Linked DNA regions of Alligator mississippiensis. The protein of the gene in region 3 purifies or fractionates together with the protein of the main gene of each other region. This does not show direct contact. Links are inferred from orthologs where the notes say so. Each region holds a gene or a part of one and is shown on either strand. Other genes may lie near its edges. The genes, in order: KAT2B, SMARCC1, SMAD2 and SP1.

Region 1 (7,023 bases), on a different chromosome or scaffold from region 3:
TTTCTCTTCAGATTCACCTCCATATATCTAGACTATTTTTCTAGTGAAAATAGCTTACAAGAACAGAGTTCTCATGAGAGCAACTGAGTTAATGACCCTCAATGAATGGCATATCTACTCATAAAAAAAAGTATAGCAAAGGCAACGGCAATATCCACAATACCTGGCCACAGTAACAGATCTAGAGTGGCTAAACACAACTAGAGGAACAGATCTAAATCATGACTAGGTTAGAGACTCACATTAGAAACTAACTGAATCAGAGGAGCATAAGCTTCCCTGAGCCCAAACTCAATTACTAGGCATAACCTCAAAGCACTGAGCCTCAAGAGGATGCCATGTGCAGTGGTGGTGTTTTGTGATGCTACCCACTTGCTCTCCACTGGGAATCAAACTAAGAATATTCTATGTTCAAATTGTGCCTGCTGGCTAGGAAGGACTTTAAAAAAATTAAAGGAAAGTTTCTGTCTCTGTGCCTATGTTAGGAGCCACTGCTTAGAATCATAGAGAATTAGAGTTGGAACAGACATCAGGAGGCCATCTAGTCCAACCCCCTGCTCAAAGCAGGACCATCCCCAGCTAGATCATCCCAGCCACAGCTTTGTCTAGTCAAGTCTTAAAAACCTCCATGGATAGAGATTGCACCACCTCTCTGGGTAACCTGTTTCAGTGCTTCACCACCTTGCTAGTGAGAAATTTTTTCCTAATATCCAATGTAAACTTCCCTTGCTGCAACTTGAGACTGTTGCTCCTTGTTCTGTCATCAGCTACCATTGATAACAATCTAGCTCAGGGGTCAGCAATGTTTTTGGACAAAGTGCCAAAAATATTGGCATCCTCAGCTTGTAAGATGTTGGCATGCCAGAGGAAGATGGCAGGGGAGCCATGAGGGGCCTGATCCGCCGGCACAGCCCTGACTCCTTCCCTGCCATTTGTCCTGAGATGCACACACCAAGCAAAATGCACTCTGGCACCCGTGCTGGGGGTTGCTTACCCCCGATCTAGCTCCATCCTCTCTGAAACCTCCCTTCAGGGAATTGAAGACTGCTATTAAATCCCCCCTCCATCTTCTCTTCTTCAGACTAAATACAGGCAGTCCTAGACTTACAACATTTCAAGTTACAAGGTTTTGCACTTACAAGGTTTATAAATTGACACCCTGTTTCAACTTTCTGGCCTCAGTTTAGACTTTACAATGCTTGATCCAACATGATGCCACGCCAGTGAACAAGTTCGCTACGTTGCCCATCTCCCTGGAGAGCATCTGTCCAAACTTCCTTGGACACTTTCTTTAAAAAAGCAGACAAAACTCCACAAAAACCTGTAGAGAAGACTCCAGCCAAGAACCCTTCAAAAAGCCCAACCAAGAGCCCTTCAAAAAGTTGAGCAAAGTTGCCGCAAAGAAGTCCTTCCAAACCAGTATGATTGCTATTTACCATATAAATACATGAATGTAGCTATATTACTCATCTATAATTGAGTACAAAATTCTGGGTTATTTTTGGTGAAAATTGGGTATCCAGCCTTGGTTCAGAAACCAATCCCCCATTTATAACATTGTTGCCTATGGGAAAAATTGGTACAGACTTACAACATTTGGACTTAAGATGAGGGTTTCAGGAAGCAATTGCGTCATAAGTCCAGGGTCTGCCTGTAAGCCCAGTTCCGTCTGCCTCTCTTCCTAAATCATGCTCCCCGCCCTGCTAACCATTTTCCTTTGCCCTCCCGAATTTATCCACAACCTCTCTGTAGCGGAGGGCCCCAAACCGGCTGCAGACGTGGCTTCACCAGTGTCAACCAGAGGAGGACAATCACTTCCCTCCATCCACTGACCCCGCTCCTATTCATACAGCTTTCTTTTTTTTTTTTTAAGAAATTTTTTGTGTTCCAACCCAAATCAGCCAAATCCATGAGTCAGTCCAGAAACATAAGTGGCCCTAGAACCAGCAAACATCCTCCACCCCCAACCACGACCTTCAGATATTTCCATCGTTTTTTGGCAGGCATCCTGTGTGCAGGCCCAAACCAGGAGGCTTGGGGTTCAGAAGCCCCCAAGTTTCACCTACCCTCAGGCATAGGAGCAAGCTAGGGTGGAGCCTCCCATTTCCATAAAATGGGCATTAAGCCCCAGCACCTCGGTGGGTACTAAGCAGCGCTGGAAGAACAGTTATCCCCAGGAAGGCTTAAGGAAAACTGCCTTCGTGAACCAAGACATGTGGTGTTTTCCCTGCCTCGGCAATCAATGAGAACACCTACAGGATATAAAACACTGCGATCGTCCAGCAATGCCACTAGCCTTCTTCTTCACGGGGGTACACGGCTGCCGCCTAGGCAGCTCCTCGCCCACCTTCCCCGGGAGCTGGGCGAGCTCCTGCCCCAGCTCAGGTCCCCCCGGCCGGGAGCGCCGCCCCGTCAGCTGTCCGCCTGTCACAACAAAGGCGCTGCTGCCCGGAAAGGCAGAGCAGGGCCCAGCGGGGGCGCCGCTGCACAGCTCGCAGCCCGGCTCTCCCCTCCCCCGTCCCCGCAGGAACGGGCAGAGACGTGCAGTGCAGTGCGGGGCGGGGCGGAGCTCCCCCGCCACCGCCGCCTCACCCCGCGGCCCGGCCCGGCCCGGCCCGGCCTCCCGGGGCGAGTGCCCCACAAGCGGCGGCGGCGGCGGCGGGGTGGGGGGTACCTTGCAGGCGGAGTAGACGCCCAGCTTCTCCAGCTTCTTGGCGCGGGGCGCGGAGCGCAGCTGCGCCTTCTTGCCGGCGATGCGGGCCGAGCCGGCGCCCCCGCCGCCCCCGGGGCTCTCGGCGGCGGCAGCAGCCCGGGCCGCGCCGCCCGCGGGCAGTCCCCCGGCGGCGGGGGAGCCCTGCTGCGGGCCCGCGCCCGCCGCCGGCCCGGCCCCGCCAGCCTCGGCCATGCCGCCGCCTCGGGCGGGCGGGCGCGGCGCGCCCAGCGCTTGGACCCTCCCCTTCTTCCCAGCGCCGCCGCCGCCGGCTGCTCCCCGGGAGGGAGGAGGGAGGGGACTGGCCGCACCTCGGCGGCACCTCCCGAGCCGGGAGCAGGCGGCGGCCGGGGACAGGGCGCCCCGGTGCCAGGGGGAGGGACTGACGAGGCCTGTGTCCCGGCCCCTCGCCGCAGCCCAGCCCCGCGCGGCCCGGCCCGGCTCCCGCACCTGGTGCCGCCCGCCACCGCCACCCCCCCAAGTCCCCTCGTGCGTGACGGCGCCGCGCTCCCCCTCCGTCTGCGGGCAGCCCCGCGCCTCCTTCCTGAGGGGAGACTTCACACCCCTCGGGGGAAAGGCAGCAAAATGGCTTAGGAGGTGTGTGTGTGTGTGTGTGCGTGCGTGCCCCCCACACGGCCAACCAGTCTGTGTAATCCGGAGGAGAGGAGACGGGGGATTTCATAGCAGCCTTCGGTTCCCTGGCGGGGGTTACGGAGAGGCCGGAGTTGGCCTGTTCTCGGGGAGGGGGCAGAAGATGGAACAAGGAGCAATAATTTCAAGTTGCGGCAAGGGACGTTTAGGCAGGGTCTTGGCATAGGCAACTTCTGTGGGGGGACACGTGCAGCCCCTGAGCTTGGCCGCTGCTAGTTTCTGCGGGGGGCGGGGGTTGCTGCTCACCACCCTGCCACCAACGCTGCTGCCCACACATTGTGCCCCCCCAGTCTCGGGAGGCACCAATCATTCATGGGTTTTGGCAAACACTTTCTCAGAGGAGTGTGGGTGACTGGTGGCACCTTGGGGGGGCATGTGACCCACCAGCAACCAGTCAGTAACTGGGGCAGTCCCCCACAGCCAATCTCACTGACCGGGGGGGGCCCCATAGGTGCTCGCACGGACCGGGAAGCAGCGGCAACACTCCCAGAAGTGGCTGTGGCCCTTCATCCAGCACTCCTGTTCCCAGGCCAATACTCACAGCCCTCCTGCCTGCCCCCTCACCCCCATCGCCTAAGCAGGGAGCACAGCCTGTCAGGGGGTGCACCAGCGCTCTCCCCCATGCACCCCCTATACGTCACCAGTGCAGAGGAGGGTAGTAAGACACTGGAACAGGTGACCCCAGAGAGGTGGTGGAAGCTCCATCCTTAGAGGTTTTTAAGACCTGGGTACACAGAGCCTTGGCTGGGGCACATTTACATGTGCAATTAACTCCAGCACACATCCTGCCAGAGTTTATTGCTCCTGGGCCCAGGACAGCAGCATATTGAGCTGGGTGGGAGCAGCCCCAGTTGGCAGGGAGCTGTGGGGGTGGTCAGCTTGCCAGCCAGAAGCTGCTTCAGCCCAGCTCAACCTGCTCTCAAGGGACTGGCTGAGGCACAAGGGTGCTGCACGGTTAGTTTATTCCTGCCTAGTAGCACTGCACATGTAGACACTGAGACATTTACTGTGGAGCTAACTAGGCAGCTCCGCAGTAAAGTCTCGTGTAGACACACTCGGTGGTTTCTACTTCTGAATTAATATTACCACACCTGAGATAAGTGCTGAAGCTAGCGCTGAATACAGTTCTGCTGGGCTATGAAACAGAAGAGAGACATTACCAGGAATGGCTAAAAGAAAGCAAAATTGCAGAAGAAAGGATAGTTTGAATCGTGAAATATGACAATTATTGAAGAGGATAGCTTGTTATATTAACACCTGTGGAGTGGGTAGAATTCAGCAGGACTCAGGGAGATGATAATAAGCCATGAAGTCCCCTCCCTGCTGCCCAGGTAATTGGTTTTAAAGTTTGGGAGCAGCAGGAATCAAAGTGGGGGTCTAACTGCACTACTGCAACCCCCTGGATCTGCCCCTGTCAACAAGCATGGTAAATTCAGGACATTCAGAAATAAGGGTAACTTGAAAAGGAATTTGGGCATGGCAACATACAATTAAAGCACTTGAGCACCTTAACTTTACCATCTGACATTATCAAGCAACAGCTATATAATTACTATTAGCATAAGATTATAGTCCTGGGTTATAAAACTGCTCTTAAACACACATCAGTTTTGTTTTCCCCTCATGGCCTCACTCTAGGGCATAGTCAAGAATGCTTGAGGGCAGAGTCAAGGTTGCTTAGTTGCCCTAACTCTGCATTTTCATACTGGATAGCATTTGGATTTTTTTTTTTTTTCTGAATACTGATTTTTCAGAGGAAAGAGGATTTAAAATGCTGCTAAGGCAAGAAATACTAGTGAGTTTTAATCATGTGGCAAGTCTGAAGAGTATGTATTGAGATCATTCCTGACAACAAACAAGTGTGACTCCAGGTGCTACATTTTTAAAAGGACACATTTGAAAATTAATTGTAACTCAAAGTAATTAATACATGTTCTGAGAATTTAAAAGTAAATCTATTTTTGGCCCAAATAGCAAATGCTTTAATATTGGGGAGAATGGGCTGAATTCTTTGTACATAACTAAGTGATTGTCTCCCATTGTTAAGCGCAAAACAATCCTAAGAAGAATCACAGGATCATAGGAAATTAGGGCTGGAAGAGACATCATGAGGTCATAGTGGCCAGTTCCAAAGTCCCCAGGTCAGCAGTGGCTCTCAAAGCCTGGTGAGTCCCAGTAAACAGATGGGGAGGTAGGAGGCATTAAGCTTTGGGGGTCACAGCTGAATCATGAGACTTCAGGGACTGGGATCCTTGGACTGAAAAGAAACCTGGAATCTGTGAGAGTCCTAGTTCAAGCCAGGGGTCTCAGAAATGCCAGTCTCCCTGCTGCAGAGCCAGCAGCCAAAGCCAGCACCCAGCATTGTCCTTGTTCCTACCACTATTAACAAAGAAAGCCCAGTCTTCCTGAGAGAGCTGCCCCATAGCTGTGGGCCTCCTGGGTGAGCTGGCAGGAAAGCAAAGTTCCTGTGTTTTGTCAGAAGTTTATTGAAACATTCACTTTCATATAAACATTTCAGCTTTTCCAATCAGCACTTTTCAACACACATCTGTGTCACTGAAAAATTCCTGGCCAGTGTTAGCAGTTGGAGTTGATACAGTATTTTCAGGCAAAAATGTTACATTCAAGCTGACAGTGACCCTTTAAGATGGCTGCTAACGTCCCATATTTTTTAAGATAGGCTGTTAAGGTGGACTGGTCATTCAAACCCAAGCCTCGCAGAACTTTAAAAGAGAGCAATGGTGAGAGGTATAGTGCCAACAGAGATAGTCTGCACAAACTTTAAGGGCATTTTAAATTTAAAAAATGACTCCCTTTGAACACAACTTAAATCAGAGGAATTTTTATTTCTTTAAATAAGAACATGCAATAATTGATGAAGAGTAAAGTTTTTAAAACAATGATTACCTTACCTACTCTGTCTACTCTACATGTGAGATTGTGAATAAAAAAATGCAATGGCATGGTTATTGTTTTTGCTATTTACTTTTATTTTCCTTTCAATCAGTTAAAATATATTAATCTATTTCACTTTCATTTTCCCTGCCTGTGGAAGTAGTCTTGCTGACTTCAATAGGCCCTGTGATGCACAAAAGTTAAGCCCATGTGCAAATACTTGTAGGATCAAGGCCTAAGCACATACCTTCTTCTGGAGCTTTTTCTAAGTCCTATTTGTCTAGAGGAGTTTTATTTCTATTAAAAATAAAACCAAGTATGTAAAGCATGAGGCAGACACTGCCTTTTATTAAAATACCCATACCCTTTAAGCATTGTTTATATTTTATATGCGGCCTTGTTCATGTTAATTTTGTTAAGGGGAAATGAGTTCTGTTTTGAAATCTAAGTACATATATTAAGACAATAGTTATTACAAATTGAAAGAGCACTTTTACTGCACTTCCTTCTTATATCCTCAAGAGCATGATTGTCTTTCAGCACCCATATCTTTTTACCGTATTGCTTAATAGATAATGAGAACAATAAATCACCACCAGTGGCTAGGGATACCGTTTCTATAGTAACTTTTGTAAACACCAGTTTCATTATATATGCAGAACTAAAGCTTAGTATTACTGAGGAATAGCTCCAGAAGCTGTGCTAGGTAAGCTGTAATTTTTTTTCATTATAGAACAGAACAAGTGTAGTAGTATAGCCATTATCTT
Region 2 (6,867 bases), on a different chromosome or scaffold from region 3:
CCATCATAAGTGACTAGAGGCACTTTAACAGAAAAAAATTAGTTATGTAAACAAAACTGCAACAATTTACTCAAATAGAGCCCTGAGGATATGACCACAAAATAAAGGAGAATCTAATTACTCCATATTTAATCTCATTTGAATGCCAGTTTCTAAGTAACATGGTATTTTATCACACATCTTTTCCAAAAAAAAGGCATGTTGGATACAGCATCTCAGTACAGATCGCATAAAGATTTAGAACCTCAACTAGAATGGGCAGACAGCAATAGGACTAGACCTCCGACACACACAGACAGCCCCCCATACACGTGAAACAGAGTCATGCTCCCTTGCAATTAAAAATGGAGGATTCTTTACTAGTCTCAAATGCACGGCAGAAATCTAAGACACATCAAAAAGATGTTTACACGCAGATCATGAATAAAACAGGGTTGTTTTTGCTCCTAACATTTTGTTCGTAATTTGGTATCTCCACAGGCCACACTTGGCAAGCAGACGTGAGCTATTCCATTGAGAAGCCTACGGTATCTTTGTTGTGTCCCCTGAAGATAGTGAAACATTCTGCCACTAACAGTAAGACTAAGGTTGAAGTGTTAGACTAACTTGTTGTAAATAACTACCTTTAGTAACTTTTTTTGTCAAGTTTATTTAAGGAAGGAAACTTTTCCACCTAAAATGAGGAAACAAGAATTTTGAAGTCAATGCATACATTCATTCCTTTTCTGGCGAAAAGAGATGCAGATTTTTAGGACTTCTCCCAAATCCTACATTATTATCCTTTCCACTATATAGGGCTTTCAAAATTCACTTGCCCAAACCAAGATCTTCTCCAAATAAATCCTATTAAGACATAGGAGGAAAGAAAAACATGAAGCATGTTCATTATCAATCTTCCCAGCGGGAACAGAGTATAACCAAGCACTGCTGCCTTCAGCCTGCAGAACAATGGATGGAGGGCCTCCCCTGCGAGGAGAATGAGAACCGAGGAGCGCTGCTGGTTTCCACAGCTGCAATCCAGCATCCTGTGGGTGGCAGTGAATTAGCAAGAGCTGCATTAGTCAGTGAAGCTTGGGAAAAGCTTGACAGCAAGGGGGCAGGCACAAATGCTCTTAATTGGGAAAGAAAAAAAAAACTCATCCCTTTAAAGGCATTAGCTTGAGGGGCTGGGGTGGCTAGGAGGGAAAACACACCTCTCCTCCTACTCCAGATGATGCTCCTCTCAAGCGTACCTGAGCCTCCAGGTGGTAATTAGTGAGACATCAGGCAGAAGACAAGATAGAGATGTACCTAGAGACTAACTCACCAAGTGTCAAGAAATATTTCGAAACTCCACGTGCAACTTGAGGCAAGGGATGATGGAAAACCTGATGGGACATGTAGTTAACGCATGGAATTCATTGCCACAGCAGGTGGTAGAAGCGGACAACACAGCCAGGTTCAAAAAAGGGACTAGGCAAACTCATGGAAGACAGATCTATTAATAGTTGCTGAACCGAAGGGTTGACGATATTTCCCCCAGCATCTCCAACCCGATAACAGTGGATCCAGGGAGGGTAGTGAATAGGGGATACGTCACTCTAGAGATATCTGGTTCAACGCTTTCCCTCTGGCATCCATTTCTCCCATTGTTGGAGACAGGCCTCTCTGATGTGCCAGGGGGGATTGCAGCCCACAGCCCACCAAGGAAACTATATTATAACAACGGAGACCACTAAAGACATCAGAGGGTTTCTTCGGACAAATCGTAAGGAAACAGGAAAGGCAGCGAAGTTGCAGGTTAATCACAAGAGAGGCAGAAAGGGACACCAAGCAGAGCACACCACTGCCCCTGAATGAGCCTGCGGACTTTGACCAGCGAAACTGCCCAGAGACGTGAGCGGAGGAGTAAAAGGAAGACAGCCCCACGCTCACCCAGGCTCCCCTGGCCACAGCCTCCTCCCTGTCTAGCACATGGCGGGACCCAGATCAACCAAAAACTCCCAGGACTTGGTGAGGGACACAAGGAAGGAGCACATAAAAGAAAAGATGTGGGAAGAACAGCAACCAGAGGCTGTGAAACTCCCTGCCACCAGCTGTGGCGGAAACTGACCGCTTAGCCAGATACAGAAAGGGACTGGACACGTTCTCGGAGGAAAGGGACACCCGTCGCTATTGAGCGGCGGAGCGAGGGGCACGGCCTCCGAATCGAACATCCTACGCCTGTAAGTGCTGGAGGCCGCGAGCGGGAGAGCAACAGCGGAAACAACCCCCGGTCACTCTCCCTGCCCGCATCCGCTCCGCCGTGGCGCGACACCGGCCTTCGATATCCCAGTCTGGAACGTGGGCCAAAGTCCACCACGTCCAGCTATGAGCCCTGCCTGGCGAGGGGGCCCCCCGAGGGCACGTCGCCGATTGCTTGGCACAACTAAGAGACAAAAGTCAGGGGAAACACTGAGCAGAGCAAGTCACACGGCATCCACTCGCCCTCGGACACGTCCCCGCGGCACGCGCGGGCCGGGGGCAAGCCCGGCCCCATCGCCGCTGCACGACTCGAGGGGTCCAAGGGACAGGGCACCGCGGGACCTCACCCAGGAAGGAGGCTGCGTTTTCCTGTCCCTCGTGTGCTCGCATCTCTGGGCCGTTTCACCACCGGCTCCTCGGCCTCGCTCCCACCCCCGTCTTCCTCGCTATTGTCACCCTAATCCCGCGACGAGCACGCAGCGACCCCCCACATCACGGGAGGGCTTGCAGCTGTCCTCAGGCCGACCCCGCGCGCCCCTCAGCCCGCACCTTCTTGTAGTGCTTGCCGAGCCAGACGCGCGCCGAGTCCAGCTGCGACACGGTGTCGGGGCTCTCCCAGAACTTGCCCGTGGGGCCGCCGTCCTTGCGCCGCGCCACGGCCAGGGCCGCCCAGCCCGGCGCCGCTGCCGCCGCCCCGGCGCCCGCCGCCACCGCCGCCATTGCTGCCCCGGCCGAGCGCCGCCCGCGCGGGCCTGCGCCGCCCACTCGCCTCACGCCGCGCATGCGTGGAGCCGCGCACGCCACGCCCCGCCCCTCTGGGCATGCTCGGCCACCCGCGCCCGCTGCCGCCGCCGCAGCCGCCGCGCCGGTGCCTGCCTGCGTCACCGCCGCGCAGGCGCACGGCGCCCGACGCTTCTGCGCATGCCTGGCGGCAGAGCCGACCCGCTTTTTTTTTTTTTTTCCCTTGACGGGTTTATTTTACTATTTTTTTATTATTATTATTATTATTATTGGCTCTGCGCATGGGGAGTGTAGGCGCGAAGTCTAGTCGCGGAAGTGGGGGGTGCTGAGCATATGGGCGCGAAGCATAGTTGCGCATGCGTGGGAACGGGTAGGGGGAGCGTGTAAGTGGGCATGCGTGGAGTCCTGGGTAGTGTTGACTATGTGGGCGCGAAGCTTAGCTATAGCTACGCATGCGTGGAAACTGGGGTGAGGGGAGAGTAGGTGCGCATGCGTGGATAGCTGAGTAGGCGCGAAGCTTAGCTATAGCTGCGCATGCGTGGATGCCGGGTAGGGGATCATGTGGGCGAGCGTGCGTGGAAGCGGGGTGGTTGAATGGGCCCGAAGGCTAGTTATAGCTGTGCGTGCGTCGATGAGGGAGGGGAAGTGTGGGCGCCTGGGTGGCTTGAGTATGTGGGCGCAAAGCTTAGCCATAGCTGCGCATGCGTTGAAGCCCGGTAGCTAGGACATGCGTAGCAGCCTTAGTAAGTTGAGAGTGTCGGCGCGAAGCCTTGTCACAACTGCGCATGCGTGGAAGCCGGGTAGTGGGACCATGTGGGCGCGAGGCTCAGTCATAGCTGCGTATGCGTGGAAAGCGGCGTAGGGGAGCATATGGGTGCGCATGCGTGAATTCCTGGGTAGGCTGAATAAGCGCGGTTAGCCATAGCTGCGCATGCGCAGAAGCCGGGTTAGGGTTGCATGTCGGTGCGCGTGCGTGGAAGCCGCGGTAGGGGAGCACGTGGGTGAACTCATAGTTGCGCATGCGTGGGAGCCAGGGTTGGGGAACACGTGTGTTTGCTGTGATGCGGGTTAGGGGCGGCTCTTGCCCATTTTATTGGGGCAGGGCCTGCTCCGTGGGGGTCTAGGCTGGGGAGAAGGCATCGGCACATATGCAAAGCACCTATTTTTTGCAGTTAAAAAGAAACTAGAAGCTTTCCTGATAGGCGGGGAGGGGCTGGGTGAACCAGTATGGGATTGAAGCAAAACCAGCTCTCGCTTCATTGCACTGAGTTGTAGCCAGTCAGTCAGTCTGCAGGGCTGTGAAATGGGAGCGTCCCACCAGGAGGCAGAGCAGAGAGTAGCTTGCCTGGCGGCAGGTGAAGACCATTACAAGGAAGGGAGGGTCATTAACACCTGTGGAAAGAGGAGTTTAGAAGGGATCAGGTAGATCACAACGAGTCACAGTCAACTGACTCCTTCGGCACTGCCTGACTGGCCATACTGCTGTCACGCTGCCAGGCAGCTGGTTTTCAACTTTGGGAGGAGCAGGACTCCGAGCGGGGTGCAAGTGCACCAGTGCACCCACCCCTGGATCCACCCCTGGCCTGCTCCAGCTGCCGCCCCTCCAAGCACGAGTCAGCCAGGGCTGGATGCGAACGGAGGTGCCTGGGCTGTGCTGGCTACGGGGTCGGCGGGCAGCGTGGTCTCGCGTGTGCATCTGCTGTGATGGGCAGGGGGATCCAAAAGCCACAGTCTCTTCAAGCATCCCCTGCATTTGGCCCCAAGGGCACCTGAGTCATGAGCTCGGTGTCACGAGGATGAGGATACTGCAGGCAACGTTCAGCCTAGCAATTCACCACCAGGGTGCTATGGGGGTGCAACAGGATCCTTTCAGGGGTATACACAGCATAAGATACTGCTGAGGTGTGCAAATGTGGTTCACAAGAGAATCCCAGAGATTGCAAACAGAAACCCATGGTTGTGGTCTTGCTGAGTTCTTTGCAACAGAAGAATTGCTCTATTACTCTTCAGTAGCCAAATAAAAGGCATCATCTCTGAACCAAGAGCTCTAGATTTTTGCATTTCTTTGTCCCAGATCAACACGACTACCAAATACATCCCTAAAAGTCAGAGCTGGCACTTTCCAAGCAGTTCCCTGAGTCTACCCAGAGGATTTCCAGTCTAAGAAAGTTGAGGAGCACTGGTGCAGTCCCTCCCAGCTGCCCCAGGACCCCCCTCTCTGAGCAAAATACCCCTAAGGGCCGTTTCCAGCCACCTCCAAACTTCCTGCTCTTTGCTCGGTCACCCCAGCTCCCAGCCTTCATCCTGCCCTTGGCCGGCCACCCTGCAGAATGAAGACACCTGGTTGCATCTTTGTCTCTGGACCGGATCCCTGCTGGGAATCTCTCTCCCATCCTTCCATGTTTAAGCTGCCAGCCGTTTCATAGTAGGATTGGACCAGTTCCTGGAGGAAAGGCCCATCAGCAGGTGTTGTGGTCTGAGCCAGTTCTTAAGATCAAGGTTACTCCCTCCTCTGTCTCGGAGCTCTCCAAGGCGAGTGCTACATGAATTTGGATTCCACCCAGAGGCTCTTGCCTGTGGGTTTACAGTTTGTCTTCTCCTCAGTTTTTGCACATGAAATACAAAAAATACATCAAAAGCTTGCCGTCACAGCTAAGGTCAGGAGATGACAGAATTAAACAATGGAGCTTTAACGCTGTGTCCCTGCAAGGCTGTATGATGACACGCTGTTCTTTTCACGGTGCACAGCCCGGACGGTGCTTGCTGCATGTGCAGCTCTGCCATATTTTGTTCTCTCCTTGTTGCTTGGGGCGTGAGCCCCATGCCTTAGTTACACACCATAGTGAGCACTCCAGAGAAAGAAGCTGATCTGCTCTTGGGCTTTCATTGGAGGGCAAGTACAGGCAAAGGTCCATGGTTTGAATTCTCCCAACACTTCTGCAAGGGGAGGGAACAGCATCATCCCCTCTGTCTTGTTGAGGAGCTGAGGTGCAGACCTGAAGATCAAAACTTTCAACCTCTCTTGGATGCCTAAGCAGACACACCCAGGACCTGAGATTTTAGAGTGATCAGCCCCTTCCAGGGGTGTTCAGCTTCCAGCCCATTGGCCAGATCTTGCCTGCAAGGCCATGTCATCGAGCCCAAGAGTCTTCCCACAGATCCAGAGATTTGGTGATGGGGGAGCAGTCCCCCGCTGCCAAATTTCCAGACCCGTGGCATGGGGAGTCCTGCATCCAGGTGACATGGCTCTACAAGCTAGATAGTGCTAGTACATGGAGCCACACACGTACATGTAGTTCTCAGCTGCATCTGGGGGGTCAGGCCACACAGCGCTAATAAATGACACGGGTATTTGCTAACAGCAAAAGGATTGTGAAACTGAATCCAGACAAGACACGGGATGCTGGTGAGCAGGCCATGTGACCTAGGGGTACTGGGGTACCTGCCATGGATGGGGTTCAGCCTCCCCTTGTCACTCAAGTTTGCAGCCTTGAGGTGCTCCCGGATCTTGTGCTGCACCTGGATCTTCAGGTGGTGGGGGTCACTAGGAACAGCTGCAGCCCTTTCTTTCAGAGTCTGATCTGGCCACCACCATCCAGGCCTTTGCAGCTCAAGGCTAGACCACCACAATGTGCTCTACGCAGGGCTGCCCTTGAGAAGGGTCATCAGAAGCACATAACTCCAGTGCTCCAGGGTCTGCACTAGCTCCCAGGAGCTTTTTGCACGCAATTCAAGGGAAGTGTTGGAATTCACTTATAATGCCCTAAACATCCTGAGACCTATACCCCTAAGGTAGCACCTTCTCTATGCCTCACTGCAGTCCCAAAGGTCAAGAGCAACCTCCTGCGTGTACCAGCCATGCACCAAGTCCCTTGGGCAAAAACACATTGCTCTCAGCAGTTG
Region 3 (6,946 bases):
TTGTTAATATTTCAAGGCATGACAGTTTCCTATAACTGCCCCTCATGTATGGAAAAAATTGTGTGCACTCCATTTAGGTGGAAGTCTGATTACTTAAACGTATCATGTTCCTGTGCAAGTTTGCTACAGAAAAAAAAAAATATTTAACAGATACCAACTTCTGTTTGATCCACATCACTTGTCAGCTTTTTCTTCACTCCAAGCGCTCTACATTAAGCAAGAGGGCTGTGGATTTCACAACTAGCACACAGGGTTAAGTCCCACTTCAAGAAGGCCCAATACAAACAGATGACTGACTGATTCTTCATATGGGTCAACCAAAAACCCTTCCAACAAGATAAAGCAACAGAATTGTACAAATCAAGGTTTCTGTACTAACATAAAAGGTCCTGAAGCAACTGAGTCTTTAATCATCTGGGAGATGTTTCCTTGTCTGATCTAAACTAATAGTTCCAGTCTCAGCTGCTTGAAAATTAAGAAGCCACTTCCCTCCATATCCCCTCATTACTTCAGAGTACCTTACCCATAACAAAACATACCAGAAGAAGTGTAATCTTAGCCTTTATAGAGCAGTCTCCAGGGACGCTTCACAAAGCCTGCTGGAAGTCGAAAACAGAGTTCAGAAAGACTGCCTGCACTCACTCATTTCTTCTAGCCCAGATAGTACTGAACGCAGGACTGCCTGTACACTCTGTTCTACTACAAAAACTAATCCCATCCCATGACCTGCAGCAATGCAGTTTAACAAATCAACAATTACAAATATTTTGGCAAAGTAAGCTTAGGTATTGTTTGCCTCTCAGCACAGTTCACAAGCAGTTTGCGGCTTTATGATAAAAGTCATTAAATCCAATTTGAAAAGCAGAATTTACAGCTCACTTAGCAAGTCAGGCCCATAAATGGATGCTTTCAATTACAGTGCTTACATGTGCAGCCCATTAAGAGTGTTAAAATACATCTAAAAAAGATGGAAAATATTTTTAATCTCAAACTTCAGCAGGTGCTGAGCTCTGCAGACAGAACTTGGGAATCCTCTTTGCCCTTTCAGGGAGCTCGAGCTTGTTGCCCTCTAGGACACTTGCCAGGAAGGGATAAGAGAAATGCACAGAAGTTGTGTTTTTAAGCTGCGTTCAGTAAGTGAGCATCTGCAGCATTATTAAGTTCAGTGGGAATGACTTGTAGTCAGCTCTTTTGGGCAAAAAGAAAAAATAAATCAAAAATCAAATTGAAGAGAAAGAAGGAAGAACTAGGAAGACCTTGGTCTGGAGATTTAGTGTGTAATCCACAATTACTTAATTTGTTCATGAAGTCAGAACTTGGGAGAGGAGACTGATTTAAATGTTTAAAAAAAAACAACAACCCCAATTTATAAATGCCAGAGTTTAAATGTCAGATTACGATCAAAAACCTCAGTAGAGATTACTACTCCTACTTCAGTTTCAGTGCACCATAGAAAGTACCCACACATGGGGGTGTTTCTTTCAAGAAATCGCTGTTCAGAAATTCAGCTGTTATTCCTTGTGATGGGTACTGCTCTGTATGGACACTCAGAAAGGAAATCCAGTTAGTGACAATGGTATAAGCTACACCTTCTAACACACTGCCAGATATCAGTTTTGACTCATTCCTACTTGAGCTTTGGGAACACCAAATAAAACCATCTTTAAGATACTTGTGAGGACTCTCATCCTCCCTGTCAGGTTGGGTCAGGCGTTTCTAAGGGAGGTTTTGAGGCAGGAGGTGAACAACAGATGAAGCAAAAGTTTGCCTCCAAGCCTCTTGCTTGCAATAGATGCGGTGTCAGTCTCAGAGAGGATTAAAGAAACATCACACACTAACTTGCCACCCTCAACTCTAAGAAGGCAATCCACACCCCAGGGGAAGCAAAAGTTAAACCATCAGCCAGCCAATTATGAAAATCACCAAGCTTCTGCTCCTCTCCTCTCCCTGCGAGGAGAAGCAAGAACCCACAGGACACCTTACTCTGGTCATCTCACAACAGAAGTCGGCCAGTTCTTCACTCTCCTTTTTAAACGACCCCGACAGGCCGCAGCCGTCCCCGATCAGCTCCTCACCGACTCCCTCAGCCGCAAAGTCAGTGGGGGCACGACATCGAGCAGCAAACCCAGAGCACACTACTGCCGAGCCACCGTTCATTAAGTTTCCCACCCTTGACCGCACCACGGTCAAGGGACCACACCACGGCCGGCCCGCCAGGAAAGCCGGCTGCTCCAAAACGAGCCCCGGTTCCACGTTCGGGACACGCAACAGCCAACCCCGTCCTCCTTGGCAGGCAGGTCCCCAATGTGACACAGCCCCTGCTCCACCCTCCCGCCCCACAGGGATGGTTGGCACCCGCGCCTCCATCCCGGACACCCAGGACGAGGACAGCGCCCGGCTCAGCTTCGCTCCTGGACCGCCACGAGCCCCCAACTCTCTCTCTCGCTCCCCAGCTGGTCCGAGGAAACCCACCGCATCTCGCCTCACCTCGGCCTCTCGCGTGCCAGCGCATCCCCCCACGCCTGACACAGCGGGGGGGAGGGGTGGTGTGTGTGTGTATATATATATATATATATATATATGTGTGTGTGTGTGTGTGTGTACATGTGTGTATATATACACACACACATTTTATATATATGTGTGATTCATACAGAGCACCCCCCCCCCCACTGCGGGGGGGCGGTGCAGCCCCTCCCCCCGAGAGGGGTCGGCGCTGGGACCCGGGGGGGGGGGGGGGCAGGCGGGCGCTCGCACGCGCGAGTGACGCGGCCCCGCGGGGGGAGGGGGCGGGGCCGCGCCCCTCAGCAGGGAGGAGCGGGGGGGTCGGAGCGAGGCCCGCAGACGCCCCCCACCGCGCGGCCCAGTCCGGTCCGCCGCCCCACCCCGGCCGCCGCCGCCCGACACCGACCTGCGCCTCCGCCAGCGGCGCCGCTCCCGCCTCCCTCCCTCCAGCTCGCTCGGTCGCTGGCTTCCTCCTGGCACCCGCCCCCTCGGCCGCCATTGGCCGCCACAGGACCCGTGGCGCCCGGAGCCGGGCGGCCGATTGGCTGCGCCGCCGGTCCGTTGCGAAACAGCGCGAGCCGCGATTGGCCGAGGGGCGCTAGGCGGGGCCTCCCCCGAGCAGGGGGATTGGCGGACCCGGTGGCCAATGGGCGCGAGGGATGAGAGGCCGCTTCCCAACCTCCTCCCGGTGGGGGCAGGCGCGAGGGCGGGGAGCGGCGTACGCTGATTGGCGGGCGCGGGTGTCTCTCCCCGCGCGCCCGTTGGGTGGGGGTGGTTGCGCCGGCCGGGACGCGGGGTGGGGGAGGGGAGAGTTTGCTGGTAGTTTGGTTGTCGCGCAGGCACGCAGCCGCACCGGGGCCGGGGGCCGCGATCCCTCCGCTGCCGCCGGCACGTATCCCTCCGCGCCGCTCCGCGCCGCGCCGTGACGGGGACAAAGCAGCGCCCCCCCTCCGCCAAGGAGGGGTTAAGTGGAGGCGAAGCTCCCTCCCCTTTGGCCAATAGGGGGCTCCCCCTCCCCCTTGGCCAATGAGGCGTTAAGTTGGGCCCCTGTCCTCAGCCAATGAGGGGTTAAGTGGAGGTAAAGCCCCCTCCCCCTTGGCCAATGAGGGGTTAAGTGGAGGTAAAGCCCCCTCCCCCTTGGCCAATGAGGGGTTAAGTGGGCCCCTGCCCTCAGCCAATGAGGGGTTAAGTGGGGGCAAATCCCCCTCTCCTCCACCAATGAGGGGTTAAGTGAGGGTGAAGTCCCCTCTCCTCAGCCAATGAGGGGTTGAGTGGGGGTGAAGCCCCCTCACCTCCACCAATGAGGGGTGAAGTGGGGCTGCAAGAGAGGTCTCGCGGTCATCGAAGCCAAGCGGCTGCCCAAGGCAGGATCATCCCTGTCCAAACCACCGCATAAAATCCAGAGTGTAAACGCTTCATACCGCTGCTATTGATCGGCAACTCGGTGTTTTTTAATGGAGTTCAAACCAGCCTGCCGGGCTGTGAAACAGGAGCGCCGTTACCGGGAGCAGGCAGCAGAATTGCAGAAGAAAGGTTGGCTCGATTAGCAGAAGGTGAAGACCACGGGAGAGGGGGTCTGTAACGCCTGCGAAAGGAAGAGTTGAGAAGGACTCGGAATATAATAAACTTTGAAGCCATAGACAAGCTGCAGCCATTGCCAGGCAGTTGGTTTTAAGCTTTGGGTGGAACAGGAATCAAGAGCGGGATGTGACTGTAGCACTGCACCCCCTGGACCTGCCCTGGAGTCGGGGCAAAGCGGTCTCCTTAATAAAGGGTTACGTGGAGGTGAAGCTACCTCTCCCCCTTGGCCAATCAGGGGTTAAATGGAGCTGCCTTTGGCTAGGAAAAAGTTAAGAGGGGGGGCAAAGCCATCTCTTCCCTTGCGGGGAGACGGATGTAGGGCAGTTAACATCTGGGGCCCCTCTGGATCAGCCCCTGCCTGCCATCAGGGCCCGGTATAAACACCCCTACAGAGCTGTGGGAAAGCCTCCGCAGCCCTCCCAGCTGTTCTCGCCCAGTCTTCCTAGGGCCTGATATAGGCAGGGAGCACGAGGTTGCCCCCGTCCCCCAACCCCGCTTCAATAAAAGTCATAGTAAGCATAACTGGATCCTCTGGAGAGCCACGTCCCTGTCCCGCCCCCTTCAGATCCTGTTAAAATGCATTAGATCCATTAGATGGGAAGCATTTCTAATCCCTGCTGAGCTGGGCAGGCTTCACGCCCAGCTTTCTACCCTATGTTCAGCAGTAAAGCCTAAAAAAGCAGAGCGAGCCAACATCGCACGCTGTCCAGGCTTCATTCTCCAGTTCACCCCTACAGCTCTCTCAAGTCCTTCGAAAGCCTCAGCTCTTGAAAGGCCAGCCTCAAGGCATAAACCATGAGCAAATCAGCTCCATGACAGTTGTGTATAATGACACCGTTGTGTTCAGTTTGCTACAAATGAGAGCACATGCGTGAAAACCTGAGCGTGCTCCAAGCTACATCAAGTGAGGAATGGATGAAGTATCCCTTTGCAGCATAGTGGGACTTTGGGAGGAGCATGCCTGAAAGTCTCCAGGTTTATTGTCCATGATTCGACTACAAAAAAAATCCCCAGATTGACCTGGCATCCTCTTTTTAAAAGGAACAGTGCCATTTTCAAACTGAAGAGCGTAGCCTGGATGCATTCTGACCTCATCAACTTAACGTGCTATATCCATTCACTGGATTACAAGGCCACTTCTAGCTTCCCATGGCTGTGTGCGCGCTTCACTTCAAGCCTTCATCTGTATAGTGAGCAAATTTTGCCATGGCAGGCACAGCACCCAAGGGCTGAGATGGACCATCCCATCGCATGACACTTAACTGACCTGTGCAGGCTGTTCCACCCAAAGATGAGGCTATCTAGGTGCCAAGAGCTTTTGCTTGGTCTCAAGTCATTGCCAGTCTGCGGACCTCCAGTTCTTGATGTGGGAAGCAAACTGAGATTGGGACTGTGCTGCAGGCACAGGACCACCAGCAGTGGTGGGAGAACTTCAGGATGCAGAAGACCGCTGTGCTGCAATTATATGCAGAGCCGACTCCAGAACTGCAGAGGCCATTCTCCCTGAGGTCTACGGAGAAATATGTGGCAAGCACTGTCTGGAAGCTATGAACCCCTGTCAACTGGTGCTGATCCATGAAGAACCAATTTGGTGGGGGCAGATCTGCTATTGGTGCTGCTGTGTATAAGTGCACTGCCACAAAAGGCCCCCAAAAACACTCTTCCTGCATGTTTGAGGTGTGCTAATCTCAGATTATCAACAGCTTTGAACCCATGATCTTGCACAGAAGTGATTGACAGAAAACATATTCCTATTTTTTGCTTCCCCACCAGGCCTTAAGAGTTTATCTGTAGGATGCAATGGGTCATGCTTAACAGCCTGGTCAACCATCACTGGAGATTTATCCATGTTGAAGCAGAACATCATGGCAACAGTGAACAACACTAGACTTTTCAATAGCCCCTCACTTACACTGATGAAGAAAAGGAGATTTGCTAGAATTTCTGGCAGCACAGAGATCAACAGCGTCACTGAAATGCAGTGACTGCCTAACCTGCTCCTGAGAACAACAGCTCAGCATGCCCTCAGGCAGCAGAAGGCCAGGTGGCACCTGCTGTACTCGGTTGGCATCAGGCTAGAGGCAGCTAGCCAGTACCTGCTGTGTCCTGCCCAGCATCTGCAGGAATAAGGATGAGGGGCTGCACAAGGGTTGGACAGCTGAGGCCAGAGGCTGGTTTAGTCTTTCCTCAGGTCCTGAAAATGTGGATCTGTTGTGTGGGGCCCCCTTAAATTACCTGTAGTGCAAATGGACTTGGCCAATCTGCCACACACACATACAGAGCAACAGTGTGGGGATCTTGTTCCTGGGCTGACATATGTATTTGCTGGAAGAAATGAACCATAAAGCTTTGAAACCACCACAAAGAAGAAAGGCACAGCTAAGCAGAGATACCTGGACTGTAGAGTTCAGCAAGTGCAACAGGGATCAGACATGGACAGGTAGGGAAAACAAACTCTACACAAATGCAGGAAAATCTACTAATGCAAGCTTCATGGGCCCAGGAGCTCTTCAGTCTTTGTGCTGGGCCAAGCTCCAATGTGAAGAGAATCTGCTGTTCCCTGGGTTTGTCTACACATGCATATGCTGCTAGATGGGTGTACTCCAGAGTAATTTACTCTAAGGCCAGGAGGTCCCTGCTTCTAGGCACCCCACCTGGGCTCCACTAGTAGAGTCTGCCCTGGCAGCCAGCAGCTCCCAGAGGCAGGGAGCAATCTCCTGCCTCCTGCTGCCTGGGAGCAAATTTGCTCCTGGTCAACCATCTACATGTGCCTTACTCTGCAGAAATTACTCATCAGTTAATCTGCTATTTGCATTTGCAAGTAGCAAATTAACTGCTGAGTAGAGCAAATTACAGAGCA
Region 4 (7,975 bases), on a different chromosome or scaffold from region 3:
CAGGTGCTTGCTGCCTTTCTGGGTGCCCTGCTGGTGCTGCTGGTGGCCAGAGTGGGTATGCACGTGTCCTTGCAGCTCCACTGTGGTGGCTGCCGTGTCACTTGTTTCCTATGGCTGCTCCTGCCCGAGGGGTGCTTGCAGGGAATGAGCCATGCAGTCTCAGCCCAGTGCTGGGGGTCTGGGAGCAGCTCAGCAGAGGGGCCGAGGACCTGGTGCATCCTACAGACTGATCAGGGAAGGGACACAGGGGCTACATTGGGTCACACGGGCGCGATCAGAGGCAGGAGCTTGCTGCCTCTGTGCTGGGGAGTCTGCAGGGCTGCCGACAGGCACTGCATACAAGTATGGCAGGGGCATCAAATGGACATGCACAAGTGCCCATGGAGGCCTATGAAGAAGGGTGGATTGCAAATGGACAGCCTGGGGGCAAGATACAGCCTGTGGAGCCCTGGCATCCAGCCCCCAGTGCTGCAGGTCTGAGTGACCCACACAGGGCCACAGGCAAGATCCAGGTCACGTGCCATACATGGCGCCCGCCCCGGCAGCTCTGGGACTACTGCCTGCTCCAGCCAGTCTGGGACCCCCATGAGCAGCATAGGTCCCAGGCAGGTGGGGGCAGGTGCTGGATCCGGTATGCTAGGCGAGGGGGTGGGGAGGAGAGCTATGGGCCTGATCCAACCCCATGCCACTCCTCCAACCCCCTGTGGCACCTCCGGCATAGGGCAGAGGGAGCCTGTCCCGGTGGAAGCACTGGCAGGCGGCAGCCAGCAGGGGATAGGACTCCTGGATTGTATTCCCAGCTCTGGGATGGGGGGTGCCATCTCATTTATGGGGTGGGGACACTGAATACTCGAACTCCCGGGTTTTGTTCCCAGTTCTACCATGGGAGGGTCTAATATTTATTGGTGGCGTGGGGGAAGCAGACATCAGGACTCCTGGGTTCTCTTCCTGGCTCTGTCCCTGCCTTGTTTAAAGCAACCTTTGCCCCCTCCTCACTCCTCTCCTCGGGATCTGGCTTGTTGCCTCTGGCTCTGATTCTCTCTAGCAGAGCATTGGGGGGTGGGGGGGGCTGGAGCAGGGGCAGGGAGGGAGCCTGTGGGGGGGCCTAGAAGGGAGGAAGGGTTAGCTGAGGGCGAGGGCTCCACACCCATAGGCTGCAGAAGCAGATAAGGCTGCAGGAAGGCTGGGGCTCCCCCCCTCCCTGCCTGGCTTGGCTGGCCAGGGCCCAGCAGCTGCCAGCAGCCAGCTCACCCCAGCCAGGGCCCTCTTTGAACAGCTCCTGGCTCATTCACAGGCTGCAGGGCTCTGCCATCGACCAGCAGCAGGGCAGGCTGCAGATCAGCTTGGAGGGAGGGTGGGCTAGTGGTTAGTGCCTGGGATTCAGGACTCCCGGGTTCACCTCTCAGCGCTGGGAAGGGCCGCTGGATCAGTGGCGGGGGTCGCGGGCATAGACATGACCCCCTGGCACCCACCCTCCTGCACAGACATGGACCAGTCAGTGATGGGGACAGGGTGGCCTGGATCCTACTGTGGGGGGAGACTGAGAGTGAGGACTCCTGTGTTTTCTCAGCTCCAGGGGAGGCGAGGTAGGGAGCTGCTGACCCTCTCTGTGCCTCAGTTTCCCTTCTGTTGCAGAGGAGGAGGAGGAGGGCCCTGCTGAGGTCAACCCAGAGTAGCAAAGCCCGGTGAATGGCACCAGTGCTGGCTCCTGCCTATCAAAGAGCCCAGCTGGCCCATCCTCCAGCCCAGCCCAGCCCAGGGGCCGGCCCAGGAAGGAGGGGATGGACTGGCTCCACATGGCTTTGTTGTCTGCCTTTGTGGCAACCCATTGCGCTGGGATTTAAAGGGACAGGCTGGATTTTCTAAGCCTGGGGAGGCAGGTGGCTCCCTCCCAGGGGTGGGGGAGGGAACCTGCCAGTCTCTGCCCCTGCGCTGCATTTGCTAATGGGGATGATGCTGCAGATCAGCTATAAAAATAGAACCCCCTCCCCGCCAGGCTTGACAGCCACAGTGCTGTGCAGAAGGGGTCAGCGGCATTGCCCCCCTTCTCAGACAGGTAAACTGAGGCAAGGACTTGTCCGAGATCACCTGGGAATAGGATCCAGGCCACCCTGTCCCCATCACTGACTGGTCCATATCTGTGTAGGAGGGTGGGTGTTGGTCATGTCTATGGCACAGACCTTTGCAGGCAGAGCTGGTCAGTCAGGGAGGGCACGAGGCATGATCAGGAGGGCAAAAGAGGAGTGAGGTGCCACGTCAGTGATGGGCCAGGACTTCCCCCTCCTCACTGTTAGCTATGGTGCCTGCAGCAGGCAAGACCCAGGTGACTTTCCCGTTCCACAGATGGGGGAAACTGAGGCGCAGACGTGCCATGAGCTCCCCAAGCCATGCCACGAGGCTGGGAAGAGGCTGCTGCCTCGTGACTTCCCCTCCTACCCGGTTGACTGCTGCCCTCCTTTTCTCGGCACTAATTATCTATCATGCTAATAACAGAGGATGTTATGGAAGGCAGTCAGGCCGCCCAGGACACAGCTGGTTTGAAGGATGTTATCCAGAACGATGCTGGATTTGCTGTCCAGCTAGTCAGCCTCATGGTGGTCGGCTCCAAAAGTCAAGGACTTTGGAGGAGTTCCAGAGTAGGACTTCCAGATGCTCCAGCTGTGTCCCTGGTGCCGCGGGCCATCAGTGTTGGCTGGGGGTGGTTTGGGGCTGGGGATGCTGTCAACACCCTGAGCTCTTATTTGGAAAGCAGTGGCAGTCAGGCAGGCAGCATCTCTTTGCGGCGGTGGGAAAGAGCGTGGTTGAAATGTTTCTTCCCTTCCCCAAAGCAGAATCCGTGCCGCACCCACCAGCCCAGGGTGGAGAGCGGCTCAGATGCCAGATTTGAACCAACACTCCCTCTGAAATGCGGAGGCTCTGGAGGGGGAGGCACGTGCTGTGCTGCTGAACTCAAGACATGCGAGAGGGACTTTTTAGGAGGAGACGTGGGAGGGCGAGAGTCTGGGGCAGGCTACGCAAGCGCATCCAGTACACACGCAGGGGGCTAAACAAGCTGACCTGCGAGCTCCCATCCAGGCCTGACTCCGCTCTTGAACAAGCCTTGTGTCCTCCTGTTAAGCATGGGAGGAGCTTCCTGGAAAAGCCAGGATGGCTCCCCCATCCTTCTCCTAATCCCTCCCTCTGCCCAGGTGCTCCCAAACCTGGAGCAGAAGGCAGCTGGCAGGCTGAAACTGCAGTTCCCGTAACTCCCCCTTCGGCCCAGCTGCTCCTGGCAGCCACCTGATGTCTCTGATCTCACATGTTGATTGCAGACTTTTCCGGGCAAAGAGCATGTGGTTTTGCTTTGGGTCTGTGCAAGTATCTAGCCCTAGAGGGGCCTTCTCCTCCACGGGGGAGGGGGCTCTTTGATACGGCAGCCCTCTCAATAACAACACTCTTGGAGCGTTTTGCTCGGAGGGAATCCTGCTTGACAAACCCACGGCGGTTGTTTTCACAATGAAAGCTCTCCAAACCTGCCAGCCAGGACGCAGTGGGGAACGAGGAGAAAAAAATGAAGCGGGTCTGTCGGAGGCAAAGGGCGGTTGTGTTGGGTGACGGCACAATTTTCCAGCTGCTGCGAGAGAAAAGAAAGGGCAACTGGGCGTTGCTCGTAAGGACGCCCGGGACCGAGGGGGATAGATCCGAGTGCAGTTCTGACCCCTGCCCTTTCGATCTCCAGCAGTCTCCAAAATCAACAGCATGGGGCGGCGGGGGGGTGGGGGGTGGATTTTACTTTCCATCCCCGCCAGGATCGTTCTGCTCCCGGCTCCGCCGCAACGAGACGTGTCGGGTCCTCACAAAACCCCGGCTCCGAACGCCTCCAAAAGTCCAGCCCCGCATGTGTTTTGCACCCACCCATTGCAATAATCATCAGGGTGCCGCACGCCAGCGGTGCGGGCTGACCCGTTCCTAGGGCCAGACGCTGGCGTGAGCGAACCGAAAGGGGCCCCGAAAATGGTCGTTTAAACATTATGATGATCTCTAGCGATAGTTTAGATTTAGATTTATTTTCCAAGGCTTCAGCTATCCGGCAGGAGGCCTCGTCCAGGGTCTCCGCAGGTTTCAGGGAGCAGGGCCTGGCCCGAGGGAGGCCACGTGGCGACAGGCCCCGCTGGGCGACACGTGGTGGCAGGGCGGTGCGCGCGTGCGGTGCTTGGGCGCACGAGGGGGTCGCAGGCACCTCCTCAAGGGCGTGGGCGGGGACTGAGCTAAAATGGCGCCGCTCCGCCACATTCCCCACCGCCTCTCCTCCCAGCGTGTAATCCACCGCCTAGGCCTCCCGCCTCCTCGCGCGTCCCATTGGCCGGTTTGAGGGGGCTCGCCTCTCCCATTGGTCGGGGATCCGCAGCCTCACCAGTCGCCTGGCTTCTGATTGGTCGTTGTGCACGCCGAGCTCCAATCCGACCTGCCTTACGTCAACGGGCGTGGGCCTGCTTGACAACTGATTGGGGAGGCTGGACGTCGATCTGATTTTCGTCCCGCCCCTCCTCGCGAGGCGCTGTCTTAGGAGCCCGCCTAAACTGCGATTCGTCGTTCTGCCTGTCAATCACTGCCTCCTTCCACGCTTCCCCCAGCCTCGCCCTTACGGGGTCTCCCTGGGAGCCCTCGTGCCTGCCGATTGGCCGCCCATCACGTCACTCACCCTTGGGCCTCACCCCCTCATCCCACCCCCGCCGGGGGAGCTGCGCGGGCTTCCTATTGGCCGCCGCCTCCGTCACTCCCTCCTTCCCCCCTCCCTCATTGGGCGGAGCCGTTCAAAGGGGCGTATCTCAGGGCCGGGGATTCGGGCGGGCTTCTCCCCCTCCCTCCTAGGCTCCGCCCGCTTCCTCATTCGAGGGCCGGCTTGCCACTCGCCGCGCGTCCCGCCCCCGCTACCGCTCCGCGGCTCCTGATTGGGCACGGCCGGGCTGCGGGGCGTGGCCCGGGGCCGGGGCCGCGTCGCGCCGCTCCCTCCCTCGCCAGCCCTTTGGCGGTCACCGGCGGGGTTAGGCTGCCTCGTCACCGCGCCGGCCTCCGCCCCTCCCCCGGCAGCGACTTGGACTCGCCCCCCCGCGGCCACCATGAGCGGTACGGACCGGACCACCCCGGCCCGGGGGAGGGGGCCCAGCCCTGCCCCGCCCCGCCCCGCCCCGGCCCGGCCCGGCCGCCCGCGCCGAGGGGAGGGCCCCGGGGGAGGGGGCTGCGGGCGGGGGAGGGCCCGGGGGAGGGGCCGGCGGGCGGCCTCGTGGAGCGGGGCGCTGCGGGGAGGCCCGGGACCCCCGGCAGGGGGGGAAATATGGGGGAAGGCCCGGGATCCTTGCGGGGGGGCGGGAAACGTCATGGGGAAAGTCCCGGGGATCCCTGAGGGGAGGGGGCTGCGGTCCTTGATGCGGGGGAGGGCAAATATTACGGGGGAAGGGACTGGAGGCTCTGACAGAGGGGTGGGGGGGCTGAGGAGGGGGCCAGATGTCGTAGGGGAAGGGTCTGGGGTCTCTGTAACGGGGCTGGGGGCTCTGACAGCGGGGTGGGCGCGGGCTGAGGGTCATGAGGAGGGGTGCAAATATGGGGGAAGACCCTGGGATCCCTGAGGGGAGGGGAGGGGGCTGCGGTTCCTGATGGGGGGGCAAATATCATGGGGGAAGGGGCTGGGGGCTCTGACAGGGGGGTGGGGGGCGCTGAGGAGGGGCCAAATATCATGGGGGAAGGGGCTGGGGTCCTTGTAAGGGGGCTGGGGCTGAGGGTCATGAGGAGGACGGATATGGGGGGGGCTGAGGGCTCTGACAGGGCGGTGAGGGGGGAGCTGAGGGCCATGATTTGGGGGGGGGTGCAAGTGTCATGAGGAAGGCTTGGGATCCCTGAAGGGAGAGGATGGGGGAGCAGATGTCATGGGGGTATCCCTGAGGGGGGGGGCCATGAGAGAGAAGGCAAATATGGGGGAAGGGCCTGGGATCCCTGTAATGGGGGGGGTGCTGGGGGCTCTGAGGTGGGGGGAGGCAAAGGCCCTAGGATCCCTGGGTTGGGGGAGGGCAGCTCTAAGGGCTCTTCTCTCCCACTTGCCCTGGGAGCTGGGGGGAGGCAGGGAGGGGTTGACCCCCACCCAGATCTGAGGGCAGGGCCGAGGGAGGTGCCAGGGAAGAGGGGGAGGAGGGTGAAGTCTCCTGGGCAAGGTCCCAAGGGAACAGGCTGGAATTGCTGCTGGGCAAAGGGATTTCCTGTGGGGTGGGAGTGAAGGAGGCCTGAGGCGGGTGGTGGAGTAGGGCTGGGTGGGGAGGCAGGGACTGACAGGAGGGTTGGGGAGTGGAGCTCGGTCCTCCCTCTGGCCTCTGTGCCACCCTCCAGCCTCAGCTCCCTTTTCCCACAGTCTCTCCATTGTCCCAGCGCCCCCCCCCCCTTTATCTTCCCATTTCCCTTCTTGTGGCCCTGAAGTACCCAAAAATGGAAGGAGTTGGCCCTTGGCAGGTCCTACCGTGTTGTCCACCCACTCTGCGTTCCCACCCTTCCCTCTTGCTGCTCTTCCTTCTCCTTTATGTCTGCTTTCCCCTCCTTGGACTTGTTGATGGGTCAGCCAGCAGGTGCTGGGCGATGTGCTGTGCTCAGTGTCCCCCCTTGAAGCAGTCATTCATTAACCTTTGATCTGCACTCCCACCCACCCTGTTTTCACTTGTCCCCCAGAATCTGTTGGAGCACACATAGTGACCCTTTCTAATAATGGGGGTGGGGAGTATACAAGTTTCTTTGTGGGTTCGCCCCCACATTCCCAATATGTACCAAAGATACATCTCCTTTCCCCCACTGTGTCACTCTGTTCAGCCTCTCTCATCATTCTCTTTTTGGTGAACATTTTCTTGCTTTGCTTATCACTTGACCTCCTTTCTCCCCCCTGCTCTGCAGACCAAGAGAGCCCCGAAGAAGTGGCTGTGGTGAAGTCTGAGAAAATAGAAGGAGGTGGTGACAGCAGCAGCAACAGCATCAGTGAAGGCAATGGGGAGGGTCAGGTGAGCAGCGCATGGGTATGTGTTGGGGAGTGGACAGCTGTCCAAATGGGGCTAGCTCCATGTTTTGCTCTTGTTTAGGGGCCCTGTTGAAGTACTAATATGCCCTGTGAACCCACAGAAATGTTTGATTTGAGTCCTGGGACTTCTTATGGTAGCATCATGACCAGTACCTCTCTGACGGCCAAGCTTAGGAATCTCATTGAGAGAGAGGAGGTTTAAGTTTGGGGCTGCCGGTTGCTTCCTTGACCTCCCTTCTCTAACACACACTAGAGCTACTGTGTGTAAGCCTGTATGTACAGTCTTAAATAAATCCCTGAACAAGCTCTCCACTGCACACACTTCTCACCCCAGGGAGAGGAAAGAAGAATATAAATGCCCAACAGACATTGCCTAAAGCAGTTCTGGACAGCATTCTGGTGCCTCCAGTATGAACACAGCCTACAAAGAGCAGTGGCTGCCTCGCCAGGGTCATATCCGGCACCCTTGGTCTTCCAGAAATACTTAGCACAGCTGCTGCTTTAAACACATCTTTATAATCGAGGACGCACTCAGATGGGTGTCTAGAAGCAGCAGCACTTCCTCTTAGGACATATCAGTTCATAGAGGGGAAACCCCCTTGCTTTGGGCTGAGCTGCAGAGATAGTTTTAAAGCCACACTTTATTTTCAGAAACCCCTAAGCCCTGTCAGGCCCATGTCTGCTTGGGGTGCTTTCCGGCTGTGGGTGGGTGTTTGTTACTGAGGAGTGTTTATCTTGTGGGCGGCAGCTCCTCCCTGTTTGCTCTCATGCGCACTGCCCACTAGGCGAGTTCTGGCGAATTAACTCCTCCTTTCTCTGCTTGTCAGGAATCCCAGCCTTCTCCCTTGGCTCTGCTGGCAGCCACATGCAGTAGGATTGAGTCTCCCAATGAGAACTCAAACAGCTCCCAGAGCCAGCAAGGCGGCTCGGGCGAGCTGGACCTCA

Evidence for each region.
Region 1: the proteins of SMAD2 (region 3) and KAT2B purify together in Homo sapiens (affinity purification with western blotting, with the first as the bait; 3 studies listed by BioGRID). This does not show direct contact. The link is inferred for Alligator mississippiensis from reciprocal best matches to the Homo sapiens genes SMAD2 and KAT2B.
Region 2: the proteins of SMAD2 (region 3) and SMARCC1 purify together in Homo sapiens (affinity purification with mass spectrometry; 3 studies listed by BioGRID, with this or other methods). This does not show direct contact. The link is inferred for Alligator mississippiensis from reciprocal best matches to the Homo sapiens genes SMAD2 and SMARCC1.
Region 4: the proteins of SMAD2 (region 3) and SP1 purify together in Homo sapiens (affinity purification with western blotting; 3 studies listed by BioGRID). This does not show direct contact. The link is inferred for Alligator mississippiensis from reciprocal best matches to the Homo sapiens genes SMAD2 and SP1.

What each region holds. Positions count from the first base shown.
Region 1 is NC_081828.1:150,497,912-150,504,934, forward strand, and holds the start of KAT2B (histone acetyltransferase KAT2B), read right to left. Parts: upstream 3,009-7,023; 5' UTR 2,906-3,008; coding exon 2,675-2,905; intron 1-2,674. UniProt on the Homo sapiens protein: Functions as a histone acetyltransferase (HAT) to promote transcriptional activation. Has significant histone acetyltransferase activity with core histones (H3 and H4), and also with nucleosome core particles.
Region 2 is NC_081828.1:217,674,075-217,680,941, forward strand, and holds the start of SMARCC1 (SWI/SNF complex subunit SMARCC1), read right to left. Parts: upstream 3,022-6,867; 5' UTR 3,007-3,021; coding exon 2,773-3,006; intron 1-2,772. UniProt on the Homo sapiens protein: Involved in transcriptional activation and repression of select genes by chromatin remodeling (alteration of DNA-nucleosome topology).
Region 3 is NC_081826.1:290,363,595-290,370,540, reverse strand, and holds the start of SMAD2 (mothers against decapentaplegic homolog 2), read right to left. Parts: upstream 3,002-6,946; 5' UTR 2,912-3,001; intron 1-2,911. UniProt on the Homo sapiens protein: Receptor-regulated SMAD (R-SMAD) that is an intracellular signal transducer and transcriptional modulator activated by TGF-beta (transforming growth factor) and activin type 1 receptor kinases.
Region 4 is NC_081838.1:8,792,634-8,800,608, reverse strand, and holds the start of SP1 (transcription factor Sp1), read left to right. Parts: upstream 1-4,963; 5' UTR 4,964-5,099; coding exon 5,100-5,106; intron 5,107-6,909; coding exon 6,910-7,013; intron 7,014-7,857; coding exon 7,858-7,975. UniProt on the Homo sapiens protein: Transcription factor that can activate or repress transcription in response to physiological and pathological stimuli.